Alligator mississippiensis: one gene and its partner. The protein of the gene in region 1 binds, or shares a complex with, the protein of each later gene. Links are inferred from orthologs where the notes say so. Each region holds a gene or a part of one and is shown in the gene's direction. Other genes may lie near its edges.

The links. Proteins that work in one complex are often made in the same cells at the same time.
Region 2: the proteins of RBSN (region 1) and RAB4A are in contact, whole or in part, in a crystal structure (PDB 1Z0K), measured with the Homo sapiens proteins. The link is inferred for Alligator mississippiensis from reciprocal best matches to the Homo sapiens genes RBSN and RAB4A. Residues at the interface, in NP_001289307.1 of Homo sapiens: Glu441, Gly442, Trp443, Leu444, Pro445, Ser447, Glu454, Pro458, Leu459, Gln461, Gln462, Asn465, Ile466, Phe469, Asp480, Glu481, Thr484, Leu485, Asn488, Leu492, Glu495, Gln499; in NP_004569.2 of Homo sapiens: Tyr10, Leu30, His31, Ile34, Glu35, Ile46, Gly47, Val48, Glu49, Phe50, Gly51, Ser52, Lys53, Lys63, Gln65, Trp67, Arg74, Phe75, Ser77, Val78, Ser81, Tyr82.

What each region holds. Positions count from the first base shown.
Region 1 is NC_081835.1:15,631,909-15,639,965, forward strand, and holds the start of RBSN (rabenosyn-5), read left to right. Parts: upstream 1-4,954; 5' UTR 4,955-5,057; intron 5,058-5,507; 5' UTR 5,508-5,597; coding exon 5,598-5,760; intron 5,761-8,057. UniProt on the Homo sapiens protein: Rab4/Rab5 effector protein acting in early endocytic membrane fusion and membrane trafficking of recycling endosomes. Required for endosome fusion either homotypically or with clathrin coated vesicles.
Region 2 is NC_081824.1:149,268,032-149,275,322, reverse strand, and holds the start of RAB4A (ras-related protein Rab-4A), read left to right. Parts: upstream 1-4,221; 5' UTR 4,222-4,392; coding exon 4,393-4,423; intron 4,424-7,291. UniProt on the Homo sapiens protein: The small GTPases Rab are key regulators of intracellular membrane trafficking, from the formation of transport vesicles to their fusion with membranes.

The sequences.
Region 1 (8,057 bases):
TTCCATGGCTATGGTGTTATGCAAAGGAATCAGATCTTCCTTCTCCATAAATATAGGCCCACTGCACTTAAGCTACAGCTGTCACTGTATACTGTTAGCAGTTAGCAACAGTAGGATTATAAAACAGGCCAAGAAGTTCTGCTCTCATCCAGGAGGACTGCTGCACACACAAATGAAACTGGAATATTCTGTGTAGCTTTTTTAAAACAACAAACTGAACATAAATATGTTCAAAGAAGCTGCTACAGAGGTACTTTTCTCAGATGCTGCAAAAGATAAAATGAGCTCAATACTTAGTATGAAAAAAAAACATCCTAGGATAGGAGAGAAAGGTCTAGACGATACCACTGGTATCTGTCAAAATGATTTTAAACTTCAGCCTGGGCATCATTCCAGACACAGACAGTCTGAGAGGAGCTAAAATGGAAACTGAGGCCTAAATTGGGAGCTAGTGTAAATCAATGTACAGCCTATTGGACCCATGCTAATTTACATCTACTGAGAGTCTGGCCCATGACTTCCTGTTATTTACTTCTCTGTGGGTGTGTCTACACAAGATGTTTATTGCACAGTAGACTATTCTAGCGATTTGGGCACAGAGCTGGGAAACAGCTGTGGGGGGGGGGACTCTTAACAGGAGCAGCTTAACACTGCTTCACCAGCAGCCTCCTGCCCTATTCTCCCAATTGAAGCACAGGGCTGGGAAGCACCTGCGGAGGAAGGGCAGATCCCAGCCAGCTCCAGGCTGCGCAGAGCAGTCTCTATGTAGCCCGGAGATGGCTGGGACCTGCCCCAGACCGGGACAGGTCCTGGCCAGTCCCAGGCTGTGCAGGAAAGCCCTGCTGGACACAGGGCTTGTCCCCATGTGCATATGCTTCACTGTGAGCACAGTCCCCTGTATCACAGCCCTTTGACATTTGCATGCAGTAAAGAGGTCCCTGTTTACAAAGAACCTGGGTGTGGGAAATCCAGGATGTGTTGCAAGAAGCAAGAACAACACTTTTTGCAGCATGAGTGTTCCTATTCCACATGATGTACTTGATGTACTTACTGTAGGGACTAATGAGAGTTCCATTAAGGAAAGCAGAGAATCCCCCTTTACGTGAGGTCTATGTCATGCAGTCATCACAGTGGGAACAAACAATTCTAGTTGTAGCAGAGAGTACTTGCCTGAAAACTGTTATCTGCATTTACAAAGAACATTACTCCCTGGCTCAGGGACTCACACTGTCTGTTTAAATGTGTCGTACAATCCAGGATAAATGTTGCATATCAAGTCTACTCTCTTGTTAATCAAACCCACCCTACCTTGCTAGACCATTTATAGTAATTAAACTATGATTTCTCTCTCAGATCTGTCTCTGGTGAAGTCAAATGCATACCCTCAACCCCACTGGCTTGTTGACAGTTGTCTGTGGGACAGCCATCATGCCACTTCTGTGAACATTTTCCAGCACTGTTTTGAGATTGTATCACATGCATTAGAGACAAGACCTGATGCCACACTAAAGGACTTGCAACATGAGGGCTTGTCAAGCCAGGGAATGCCACAGAAGTTAGTGAGAACTAGCAAGGCAGTGTCCAAGTAATAACTACTCCAAACAGGTTACCTCCAAACTGGAGTTTCTTTGCATGGTATTCTTAGTGTAGAATAAGAGCACTCACACAAGGAGCTAATGTGATGTTGCTACTCTTCCATATTAGTTATTCTAGGCTTTTCCCTTATAGAGACAAAGCCTTACCCTGCAACTTCAACACTAGCTGAGCACTCCCAGAGAGAACAAACCACAGGACTAAAGCCTGAGAGCCCAAACCTGCAATCATGACTCACACCCCTAATTATTCACAGGGAATGGTGCTTACTAGAGAAGTGATGTAGTAAATGAGGTCAGACAAGTGTCAGGAAATGGAAGAAGGGGAAAGTCAGCTGTGTATTCATTCACATCCAGATATTAGCCATAAATCTATGCAAGAAGAACCCAGTTGGTTTCAGTGAGATAACTCATAGGTACAGGGTACTGCAAGCATAGGATCAGTGGCCAGGGTTGGGGTTCTAAAGCATATGCGCATCTTGATGGCTTTATACAACATGTCATTCAAAAAAAAATCTACTCATTTGTCACACTGAAAAAGAAATAACCAGGTTATCTCATCTAATAATAATGTGAGCCACAAGTTTATTAACACATTCCTCAGACTGAATCCCTTTTACATATCACCATTTTCCTTACATAAACCCCAGGAAAAGATATCCTAAAAGCACTTATATAGATGACCATGGATACCAGCAGCAGTATAGATAAGCATTACCTTATACTTAAGCCAATTGTACTGCCTTGGTACAGTGCAGCAATTAACATTCTCTTTCTTCTCTGTCTTTATGGGCTGAGGACATTCTTATGTTTTGAAATTAAATCAATAGCATTATTTAAAAAAAACCCCACTATTCGTGTTCGTAAAACTTTTTGATCAATATGCTCTGTTAATGTAAAGAAGAAATCAAATACACCTTTTAAATACACTAATGGTTTATTATATACAATACAATTTGTTAATAGCATCAGAGCTGCAGTATCATAAGAGGGGAATTTTTTCCTTTACAGCATCATAAAAGTCATCTCTGCTTTTAACAGCAAATTGGTCTTGAGCCTGCATTTTCCATGTTAAAGAGGGAAGTGATTATAAGTGGGATTCTACATTCTTTTTCATAGCTGCCTGGTTCTCTCTGCAAGTAATTGAACCAAGACTGCATTGTTTTGAGAAGTAGAGAGTAATGGATCCAACTCAAATTGGTTATTTAAAAATTCAGCTCCTTTGGTTATTTATAACATTCAATTATTCCTGTGACTAAATCAGGTCAGTTCTGAGCCTTTATTTCCCCCTTATGCTTCTGTAAGATTGCAGTTATGTAACAGCAAAATGGGCCAAATTCAGTGTGATGCAAAAGGTGATGAAAACGATAATGTAGTGTGGGTTGCCCACCTGGATCAGACTGCAGAACAGATACCAAAATTTGATACCAGGTTAGTTTCTAACATGGACTAATTGTTCTTCTTGGCTTTAAAAAAAATGAAAGAGCTGGAACGGTAAGATGTGAACACTGAGCTCTGCATGGGTCAAGTAGAACAAAAATAAGCAGACTGGTACAATACAGAATTCCTCTGATATATCAGAAGTATTACAGGTCATGCGGAGCACCCAGTTCTTGGCCTTTACCAAGTTTGCTAATTAGTGGAAACTGCGGTAGTGAGCTAGGTGAAAATAAGACCCATCAAATTAATCTCACGTGAGGCCACCAAATACCACTTACCTGGGAAGAATTTTAAGTCAAAGGGGAGGTAGGCACTTAACCCTTTGTACCTTGGAAAATAATAACCCTTAACTCCTGTTGGGAGCTGAAGTGGTTTTAAATGACTGACCCTCAGATAAAAAGACTGTTCATAGCAGTGCCCAGAAACATCCTATTTCTTATTAAGTACTAATAATGTAAGAAGGGGTCATATGTCTAGGTCATTTATTCTTAACCAGGGTGAGATTCTTTCAATTCTTTGATGGGTGTAGGAGGTGTGAGATTAGTAGATAAGCACAAGCCCAGGCTTACCCCTGCTTGGCCACACTCCTTTGTCCCTACTCAGCTCCTCTGCAAGGAATAAATAAGTTAGTTTTTGAAATAGGGTGCTGCTCAACTCATAACAATTAAAGAAGCTTTGAGTCTAATGAGGGGTGCCTTGAGCCTAAAAAAGCTGGGAATCATTGGTCTAGATCAGCGGTTCCCAATCTGTGGTACACGTACCATCAGAGGTACTAGGGTGGTCATCACAGAGGACAGTCTGGTTGTCCTCTGTCCTCTATTGAGACGAAACCCGATGCCTTTATGTCCTCTATTTTTCTTGAAGAGAAAAATATTTTTTTATTTTTCTATTTTTCTTGAAAAGAAAAATAGAGAACATAAAGGTGTCGGGCTTTGTACCAAAGAGGACAGAGTAGCAGAAAACCAGAATGTCCTCTATGATGGCCACCCTAAGTGGTATGCAGACAACCTCTCAGTGGTACGTTAACAGATTGATTATAATTACTTTATATGACAAAAATTTGCTGGTGGTACTTCATGTTGTATCGTTTTAAATTGGCCGCATGCAATCTGTCAGTTTGGGAACCGCTGGTCTAGGTAATATGCAGTAGTACAACACAGGCCTCTTCCAGGTGAAATAAAGCAATAACTGTATCACTAGGGAGACATGATGCTCCTACCTTGAGGAACAAAGTGGGATCTACGCTAGAGAGAGCAGGGCCAAACATACAACTTTGTGGGGGGGCTCTGAGAACGAAACCTGTCGGGCGTATTAGAAACCTCCGGTCTGTTCCCAGCATGCTCAGGTGCGTGGCTGCGAACTGCAGAATTATCGCTGGCAGCCAATGGAAGGGTTGGGCCTAAAACACACGGTCCCACGGCTTGAAACCCACTCCAAACAGGCTACGATCTGGAAATCCGTCTCACAGGAGCACGTGCACATATACACTCATGTTATATGCGAGGCGGTGGCAGGCAAGCCAACTCCGCTACACGTGGTAGGCCCAATTCTCCGGGTCTTCTTCGCTGGAAGCACCCGGCACGCAATTGCATCTACCGGCCGCCTCGTGCCGCCGCGTCCACCTTTGCCGCAGGTGGGCGCGCTCAACCGCCTCGCGCAAACGCCAGGCGTGAAGCGAGCCAGCCCTCCGCAACGCAGCGGTTCCTCGAGGAGGAAAGAAGCCACTGGAGACGTATGGATCTGCCCCCTGGCCTGACACTGGGCCCAGCTGGCTGAGGTGGGGGTGGGCTTCTGTGGCCAATCTCCCTGCGGCGCTGGGCCCCGTGGGCGGGAAGGGCCCAGGCGGCGCCTCTCAGGCCGGGCCGCCCGCACCGGGGCGTGGCCTCGCGCCCCTTTCCCAGCATGCCCCGCGCGCCCATCCATCGCTCGGCGCTCGGCGGCGCGCCCTGCGCTCGGCCCCGCCCTCTCGGCTGTGCTATCGCTGGCTCGGCGCGCCGCTCCCCGCAGCGCTCGCTGGGCCCGGAGGTGAGTGGCCCCCGCAGGCCGGGGGGAGGGGAGGGTTTCCTCACAGGCGGCGCCATGAGGCGCCCGCAGCGGGCGGGGGAGGTGCTGGTCGGGGCCCGGACAGGCCGTGCCTCATCCCGGGGTGGGGCTGGGCCGAGAAGCGAGGCCGGGGGCACGTGGGGGCGGCTCCGCTGCCCCTCCCCCATGCAGGACCCCTCCCCCTGGGGTTTAGGCTGGGCCCAGCACGGGGGGCAAAGGTTTGGCCCCCCTGAGACGAGTCACGTGTTTGGCACCTTCGAGGGGGCACGAAGAAGGTGCCGCTGTCCGGGAGGTCCGCGTCGGCTGTGGGGCTGCCTCTGGTCTCCGGGAGGTCCTGGCTGTAAGCTGCAGCCGGGCTATTCAGATGGGAGAGGGTGACTGGTTCAGCCATTTGTGGGGGGCACAATAACTGCTCCGCGGGTCTCTTCCCAGGCACCACGGACGATGCTGCACCCCGCCCGGGTGCGATGCCGCTGAAGAGCACGGGCCTGGTCGGGTGCCGCTGAGACCCGTCGAGCCGTCATGGCATCGAGCTACCCGCCGCCGTTCGATGACCCCGGGGAGGTGCGAGAGGGCTTCCTGTGCCCACTGTGCCTGAAGGATCTTCAGTCCTTCTATCAGCTTCAGTCGCACTACGAAGAGGAGCACTCGAGTGAAGACCGGGACGTCAAGGGGCAGCTCAAAAGTAAGAGGCGGTTGACGAGTGCTTCGCTACGTCCGGCTCTTGGGTAAAACTCCGTGCAATGACAAACGGTTGTGTTACAGACGCTGAAAAAGAGCCTGAAGTTTCAAATGGCTAAAATACTGATTAAAATGAGTTAGGAGGGGGAGGGAGAGCTCATTTTTTGTGTGAGTGGGGAGGCCAAAAAATTGCTGTAGAGTTGCTGATTTTTAAGGAAAAGCTTTTTGTTGTTGTTTACTAACATGTTGGCTGAAGTTAGGCACCTAAATAAATCACTAGACTTCTCAGATACTGAACTACATATATAAGTAGCTCCTATTATATACATAAATAACTCCCATTAGTGCAAACACCAATTCTCTCTTCAAGGACAAGCTTCCCCACCTTCTAGTCAACTGACAAATTCATAGGCTAGTCTTCAATTGACACCCAGGGAATTTGCATAGATAACTCCTATTATATACATTGATAACTCCTATTAGTGCGAACAATTCTCTCTTTACTGACTTCAGTCACAAAGGCCAGTATTTCCATTTTGAATATACTGTATTATATTTTCAAAATGGAAATATACTGGCCTTTTGTTTTTTGTGATTAATCTCAGTAAAGAGAGAATTGGTGTTTGCGCTAATAGGAGTTACCTGTGTATATAATAGGAGTTATCTATGTAAATTCCCGGGGTGTGGATTGAAGACTAGTCTATGAATTTGTCAATTGACTAGAAGGTGGGGAAGCTTGTACTGATCAGTTACCAGCCCCTTTGTTGCTGCGTAATTTGTCTGGGTTTATACCACACTTCTGCAAAGTTTAGAACACTTTTTTTAGTTGGAGATGGTAAAAGGTTTTCTATTTGGAGACGGCAAAAGATTCAGTTCATAGCTTCCTTGCATATATGCTGTTAAATTTAGATAAAATATGCAGAAACAGTTATTTTGTTTTGTGCGTTTTCCTAGAAAGAGGCTTAGCTGTTTTTCCTTGATCTTGAATATTTACTGCTTTTTTAATATAATTATGAGGACCTGTCAAAAGGGCACTTTGACACTGATATGTATTTAATTTTTTTTACTCTTTAAAAAGTCCTCACTTGTTCTGCTTTTTAATAAGCTTATTACAGTTACATTTTTATAAATCTAATTTACTTTTCGCCACTTTTGGCTGCTACTTAGCTTTTTCAGTAGATCTGTCTTCTTGATTAAGTAACACATACAGGTCAGTTTTTCTCTCTGTTTCTTGTGGGCTAAAACAACGCTATAATACCTTAATTGCAGAGTCTGCAATCGAATATTCATACCAAAGAACCAATATCATTTTCCCTGTTTTAAGAGAGAAAATGATTAGATTTTGCGAGCCCCCTCAACACTTTGATATCAAACACCTCAGTGTTGGATTCTACCACGGCCTTTAATTTAGAATTTCATGCTGTAACTGTATTAAAAAAAAAATAGCAGCTTGAAATCTACATTTTTGAAAGATGTTTTTATTTCCTGGCTTTCCTGGCAGTCTTATTCAAACCACGTCCAGTAAAACTCATCCTAGCATAAAAACCAACAAGATGGCTTTTATAATAAATGTAGCATTCACGTTGCACGTCAGAAGTATTTTAAGCAATTTCTTGCTGACATCACTGTGTCTAATTGCAGGTTGGTAAGACAGAAGACTCTTACCTGAGCCGCGTTAATGCCATGTGACTCTCTTGGCTTTAGACTGAAAAAACAAACAAACCAAAAATAAACTTGAGAGGAGCAACATATTGGAAATACGTAGCTCCTGCTGCCATTTACATCCTTATTTCTCTGGTTCACTTAACAATTCTGAGAACTTCCGGATGATTAAGATATTGTCTGAATTGGAGGGAATATCCTTGCTGGGAATTTTGAATGTGGGACAGTGACAAGTAAGGAGTGTGGGGATCCCTCATGGGTCTGTCAGTGTCACATAAGGACAACTTTCAACCTTGCTTCCTCTCCCCTATAATAACAAACAAGCTTCTGTGAGGTTCTGAGTGCTTCCAGCAAGAAAACTAGCACCCTCCACTTTCATTGGCTTCAAGGAGCTGTGGTAGCCAGGAACCTGGCAGCATTAAGCTCCAGATGTTTGTTATTTCTAGGTTCTTGTATATGTTAACACTTCAGAAAACAAAACTCCTTGAGTTTTTGTGTGCAAACTCCTGATACTTTGCACACTGACAGTATCAGGGAGACCCTTGCCCTCCAGGAGGCAAGGGTCTCCCTGATACTGTCAGTGTGCAAAGCTGATTTTTAAAGCCTGTTGTCTGTGAAACGTTTCCTGTTGGTTGTGGA
Region 2 (7,291 bases), on another chromosome or scaffold:
TCACGGAAGTGAAGACGGGTTTTATTTGTGTCTGATGGGAGGATCGGATTCTTGCTCGTTGTCCCCTCCCTGTGGTATGGGGGTGGGGCCGTTGGGAGCGACGTCATCTCAGGGGGCGGGCTTGCTGGGTGGAGTCCCGCCTGTTCTTCTGTGGCTCCGCCCTTCTTTTCCGGGTCTTCCGGGCAGCTCATATTTTTCTCGGTGCCATTTCTTTGTGGCGACGGAGGGTTTGGGCACGCTGCCATCTCTGCAGCAGCTTTGCTGACTGTAGCTAACTGGGTTTTTAAGTTTGCATTTTCACGCAGTAGGAGTGACACTATGTTAATCATCTTCCCTTTGTCCCACTCGGAGCTTCCCCACTCCTTTCTGACTCCCTCCTCTCCTCTCAGCGAGAAGTAGCCGCTGACGCACCCTGTCTCCGCTCCGCTCACTTGGTGATAAGCGATGTGGGCCCATAATTCATCCGCGTTATCTACGCAGCGCCCCCCACTACACCAGGGGCAGTTCTTAATTAATTCCCACTCCATCACATTTCCCCTTGATCCTGTTCGTGACGCCATGTCGGGACCCAGGGCAGCCGGCCAGCAGCTCTCCCTGACTCCCACCCGGGCAGATAAGGGCCCAGGGCCTTAGAAGGCCGTTAGGTGGGTATTTGTGATGCTTGGAGTGGAATTAATTAGGCGGACCCTTATCTGCCCGGGTGGGAGTCAGGGAGAGCTACTGGCCGGCTGCCCTGGGTCCCGACAATAAACACTTTTTAAAAAATGTTATCACTTAAGAACACAGGCTGGATATCCTGGATAATAGCCCAGGCCCTCTGGCACCCTATTTCTGGCAGGAGGCAGAATCAAGTGTCCCAGAGGAAGGTGTCAGAGTCTCACAGGAGAAACACGTACGAGACAGGAGGCAGGGTAACCTTATAGGTTAACTCAGGGCTGTCCAACTAGCAGCCTGTGAGCCACATGCACCCCCTAAGGGGATAAACAATGACCTCTGGACCCTGGCCTGAGCACTGCTCCCCCCCTTTGTTCTCTTCCTGCTGCTGCCTGAGTCCCCAGGCTCTCCCTCCCTCCTCCAGACTAGTGTTACCGTATGTCCAGGTTTTTCCAGACACGTCCTATTTTTGAGTTCTCCAATCTCTGTCAAGGCAGTTTTTTGAAATCTGAACCAATGCCTGAGATTTTACTTTGCTCCACCAGTGGAAGCAGAGGGAAGGCGACTGGAGGCAAGGGCACCACTCCAATCTGTGTGTGTCTGCATCAGCCTCAGCAGCTGAATGCAGGTAAGTCTTGGGTGGTGGGGTGGGGGAGAGTTGGAGGACTGGAGCAGCGGGTGCGAGGGGAAGTGCCTACCCTTCCAGTGGGGGATAGGGGTGGGGGCTTTGAGGGAAGCGGGGAAGTCTATGGCTGGGCTGGCAGCAGTAGGGCTGGTGCCACTGCTCGAAGGGGGCAGAATGGGCAGGAAATGCTGCCCAGGAGGGAGGGTGAGGTGGGGGGGCATGGCATTGTACCATGCTGGGAGCCCCTGCAGTGCAGTTGGTGGCAGGTGGGCTCTTGCAGCTGGTAGGGTCCCCTGCAGCATGGGTGCAGGGAGAAGGGGTGCTTGCATGACACTGTGGCAGGGGGGAACCTACAGCCTCTAGTCTGTCAGAAATTGGACATCCCTAGACTAACTAAATCAGATAAGCTCCATAGAATCATAAAAAATAAGACTTGTAAGGGACCTAAAAGGTCATCTAGTCCAACCCCATGCTCAGAACAGGACCATCCCCAACCAGATCATCCCAGCCAAAGCTTTGTTCATCCAGGTCTTAAAAACCTCCAAGGATGGAGATTCCACAACCTCTCTGGGTAACCTGTTCCAGAGTTTTACTACCCTCCTAGTGAGAAAATTATTGCTAATATATAACCTAAATTTCCCATGCTGCAACTTGACGCTATTGCTCCTTGTTCTGTCATCTGCCATCACTGAGAACAATCTATCTCCATCCTCTTTCAAACCGCCCTACAGGTAGTTGAAGGCTTCCATTAAATCCCCTCTCAGTCTTCTCTTCTCTAGATTAAATAAGTCCAGTTCCCTCAGCCTGTCCTCATAAGTCATATGTTCCAGCCCCTTGATCATTTTTCCTTGCCCTTCACTGGACTCTCTCCAATTTGTTCACATCCTTTCTGTAGTAGGGGGCCCAAAGCTGACCACAATACTCCAGATGTGGCCTCACCAGTGATGAACAGAGAGAAATAATCATTTCACTTGATCTGCTGGCAACGCTCCTACCGATGCAGCCCAGTATGCCGTTAGCCTTCTTGGCAACAAGGGCAAACTGTTGGTTCATATTCAGCTTATTGTCCACTGTAACTCCCAGGTCCTACTCTGCAGAGCTGCTGTCCAGCAGTCAGCCCCCAGCTTGTATTGGTGCATGGGATTTTTCTGTCCTAAGTGCAGGACTTTGCACTTGTCCTTGTTGAACCTTGTGAGATTTCTTTTGGTCCAATCCTCCAATGTGTCAAGGTCTCTGAATCCTAGCCCTACCCTCCAGCATATCTACTACTCCCTCCAGTTTGGCGTCATCTTCAGATTTGCTGAGGATGCACTCTATGAACAAAATTGGGCCCAGGACAACCCCTGCGGCACTCCACTTGATACCGGCTACCAACTACACATTTAGCCATTGATTACTACCCTCTGAGCCCAATGATCCAGCCAGTTTTCTATCCACCTGATAGTCCATTCATCCAACTCGGACTTCCTTTGCTTGCCTGCAAGAATGCTGTGGGAGACCATATCAAAAGCCTTGCTAAAGTCAAGGTACACCACATCCACTGGTCTCCCCACATCCACAGAGCCAGTCATCTCACCATAGAAGGCAATCAGGCAGGTCAGGCATGATTTGCCCCTGGTGAATCCAAACTGACTTCCTAATCACCTTTTTCTCCTCCAAGTGCTTCCAAATGGATTCCTTGAGGATCTGCTCTATGATCTTTCCAGGGTCTGAGGTGAAGCTGGCTGGTCTGTAGTTTCCTGGACCCTCCTTTTCCCCTTTCTTAAATATGGGCACTATGTTTGCCCTTTTCCAATCATCTGGGACTTCCCCCCCCCCCCCCCCTTCCACCAAGCCCTGCTGGACTGCCGATCATTCAGGGACTGTCTATAACCTCAGTGATCCCTTTGATACCCTAAGTCCCACTACCAGTGCTCTACCTGAGCCTGCTTATTCTGGCCTCCCCAGGGAGGAAGGGAAGCAAACCCCAGTGGCCCTGGGTTGCAGCCCCTCCCTCCATCCAAGGGGCACCCCTTGGATGGAGCCTGGCTAAGGTGGCCATTAGCTCTGACACCCCCTGCTCCCTATTTGTTTCTAAGCGAGGAATGCACTGCAGAAAAAAAAAAAGCCTGTTTTTCTAGTTCATTGGTGGAAACACATGCCAATCACTTATCCTCCCAATTCTATTGGCTGTGCCTAGAGGTAAGGCGGTGCAAAGCCAGGAGCTCAAGGTTCCCACCCAGGGAGGGAAGAGGGGAGGCAGCCAGTTTCTGGTGGCCCCGCCCCTTGCTGCTGATTGGTTAAAGAGGTAGCTACCCCACCTGTCACTTCAGATTGGTGGAAGAAGGTGCCACCCCCACTACTGATTGGTGGAGGGGGGCCACCCTCACTAAGGGCGCACTGCACTTTAGGGTTGGGTCAGTGGCCACATGAAGCCTAGTCCGAACTAGTGCTGGGGCCCTGGCATGGGTTGGCCCTGGGGGTGGGCGCTAGGGCTCTGCACAGCACCAGGGCCCATATTACATCCCCAGGCTAGCAACTAGCCCGCACCAGCCCGCACGGGCCTACCAGCAGCCCTGCATCAGCTGGCTTCCACGGCACTGCTCACGCGCAGCCAGCCACTGAGCCCCGTTCGCCTTCAGACAACTTGAGGCGTGGGTAACGTCAAGCATTGAACCTGAGGGGAGGCGGGGCGTTGCCTCAGCGTCACGCGCTGCCCTCGTGGCCGACGCCGGGGGGCAAGGCGACGGAAGGAGACGCCATTATAGGCTCCAGGAGGCCCCTCCCCGGGCACATCAGAAGCCAACCGCGCGGCGTTGACGTCGCACGCCGTTACATTCCACGGGCGGAACGCGCGCTTGCGCAGACGCTCCCTCCCCCCCCCCAACGGCCCAGTTCGCCAAGCGCCGCACGTGCGCTTTGTTTTGGTGGCGGAGGTGGGGAGGCGGCAACGCGCAGGCGCAGACGCGTAGCCCCGCCCCGAGGGGGGGCGGGAGCGCGCAGGCGCAGACGCGCGACCGTTGCTGCGGCGGTTGGCCCGGCTGAGGCGGTTAGGGGCCGGTGTCCGCTGCTGGGACTCGCCGGCGGGCAGCAGCAGCAGCAGCAGCCCAAGGCGGAGGGGGTCTGGCCCCGCCATGTCGCAGACGGCCATGTCTGAGACTTACGGTAGGAGCGGCCGCGTCTCCCCGAGCGCGTGAGGCGGGGACTGCGGCGCCGGGGCGGCTCGGGGCCGTGCCCTGCTCCCCCTTCGGCCTCGGGCCCGGAGCCGGGCCTACCACCCTGGGGGGTGAGGAGAGTCCCTGTCCTGGCCCTGCTGGCATAGGGGTGGTCCTGCCTCTGGCAGGGTTGGGCTGGAGGTGCTTTCCCGCCCCGCTTCTCTGTGATTCTTCGGCACCTGTCGTCTCGGCTTCCAGGTATCGGCTTCGATACCTGCAGGCTCAGCAGCCCCGGAGCATGGCGCGGGGCTGTACTCGGTGCGGCCAAGGCAGATTTGAGGACTTTGGGAGAGTGTCAGACCCCTGCAGGGGACAGGAAGGGGTGGCCGTGGCTACTAGATGTGCAACTGCTTGTGCAAAGTGAGGATGGCAGGGGCTGGACCCTGCCTTTTTTTTTTTCTTTTCCTTTTTTTTTTTTTGTTGCCTGTCCCTGATCAATACATGAGGGGGTGAGCACAGCACTGGTGCTGTAGCTGCTCCTCTGGGAACTTGAATGCCAGCAACTTGCTCCAGGAGCATGGGAGGAGTGGGGGAATACACCAAACTTAAAAAAAATGGTGCCCACCTGTGGCAGTGGGGGGGGCCACTGGGAATTGTGGTTTTCAGCTCTGCTCCTTCATCTGCTCCTCGCATGCTCACAGAACTGGTAGGAGAGGATGCAGGGATCCGTTTGACCGTGGGACACGGCAGGGCAGGCTCAGGATGCCTGGACTGTGAAGGAGACTGCCTTTGCTGTCCCATGTGGGCCAGGCACTGTGGTACTCCAGTTATGAGTCACGGTTTTAGCAGAACGTGACTATTCATTACTTGCAGTGGAGCTCAGAAATCCCAATTAGGAGCAGAGTCTTGTGGTAGTAGACAGCCTACAGATTTATGGAAAGATGTGATTCTTTTCCCCAACAACATAAAAGAGAAGCTACAAGTAAGTACAGGAAATCATAGGAGGGCTTGAGGAAGGACAATGAGAAGTGATAAAATTGTCTATGTATCCCCATATTAAGTCAAATTAAAATAATCCAGGGCAATATCATATTATAATATGGGCGTGCTGTTCAGTGACTGCTCACTACCTGAAATAGCTTTGGTAATACGGACCTCTGAGGCAGAGTAGTAGTAGCATGGAGACCCTCTACTACCTCCCAGGAGTAATTTCTTCTCCAGAATATTCCTTGTGCATGGGTAAGTAAATGAGCCTATATGCCCTACTGGCTGCTAACCGACGACATGAAAAAAAACCCCAAAAATCCCAGCACTTTACTTTCAGCTTGGCTCATCCTTGCATGAAGCCGAGTGCATGCCCGAAAGAGGCATTGTGTTAGTTTCACCTGGCTTGCCCAGCTCTCTATAGATCAGGAGCTTCAGCAGGGCTTTCTGGCACTTTTTACTTAATAGCTGATTCAATAAAAGGTTTATTCTCCTCAAACATATAATACTTCCACTTTGAGAACAGAACAGCCTTTCTGAGATGATGAATACCTCTCAGTTTTGGGAGGATGTAGTATAAGTTTCATTTAGGAGAAGTTAAACCTTTTTTTTGCACAGATCTGAGAATAACCTTAATATGCCACCTGCCTGACACTCCCAGAATAAACTGAGATGCCTCCATAAGTCTTCAGCTCCCTCTCCACCTGTCATGTTATCTTGGAGCTTAGGCACTATAGGGTCAGAGTGGATTTCACACAGGCTTTATTTTCCAGTCTACATACTGTCTTGCAGATCTTTGAGCCACAGAAGTTAATTGGGGATAAATGATGGGCAGATATAACCTTACATTCCTACAGTTTGGGGATAGCTCCATGGCTGTGAGGCACAGCAGTAGAGGTGACAGCTGTGACTGTCAGCCATTGGGGTGATCTAGCTGGACAGTGATTTAAATTGTCAGCTTGGAGGTGGTGGGGGGAGGGGAGACTGAAGAAAGCAGGAACCAATATATGCCAGGCCAACCAGGGCCAGAATTGTTTCCCAGGCTTATTATCTGATTTGTATGCCATAGTTTGGATAGGGATGATCCTGCCTCATGCAGGGGGTTGGACTAGATGACCTCCAGAGGTTCCTTTGAGCCCTACTTTTCTATGATTAATTGAAAAGTTAGCATCTTTCAATCTTGTATTATTATATTATGATGGTTTCAGGCTCACAAATATTCTTATAGTTTGTATTAAGAGTATAAGAAATGCCATACTAGTCCATAGTAGAGGTCAATCTAGCCAATCCTTCTGGTCAGTTTCCCCCTGGCCTTGGCTAGGATATCTATCTACCTGATGACGAGGAAGGAGGTGTGGCCACAGGAGACCCTGGCAACTACAGAGCTGTCTTCATTTCCCTTATTTGTGCCCATATCCAAGCATTATTTCACTGGGCAGCATCCAGTGGCTCCTAGGATGTCTTTGAAAACCTGTGAGCACTAGCTGTAGTTCTCTGCTCCATGTCTGCCTTTGACACCCTAGTTATTAACATGTAGTCATCATCACTGTCATTCCTGTTTTGTTGTTTGTTGTCTGAAGAAATTGGTTTTTGCATGTTAAGTGGCCTCCTTCTAGCAACTAAAGACAACTTATAGTTTCTGATAGACCTAGGCCCATTATCAAGGCATAACAAATAAGCTGGTCTCTCACAGGCACCTCTACATGTACATTAATGTGTCATAGTTACTGCACATTAAGTTTAGTACCTGTATTAATAGGTACTAACTCAATGCACAGTAACTGGAGCTACCGTGCAGTAGTTTTGGCATATGCCTTTTTAGCGATGCTAATGCACAGTAGGACTGTGTGAAATAGCACGGTGTCGTGTTGACTTCTGTTTTGCTGTTTCAAAG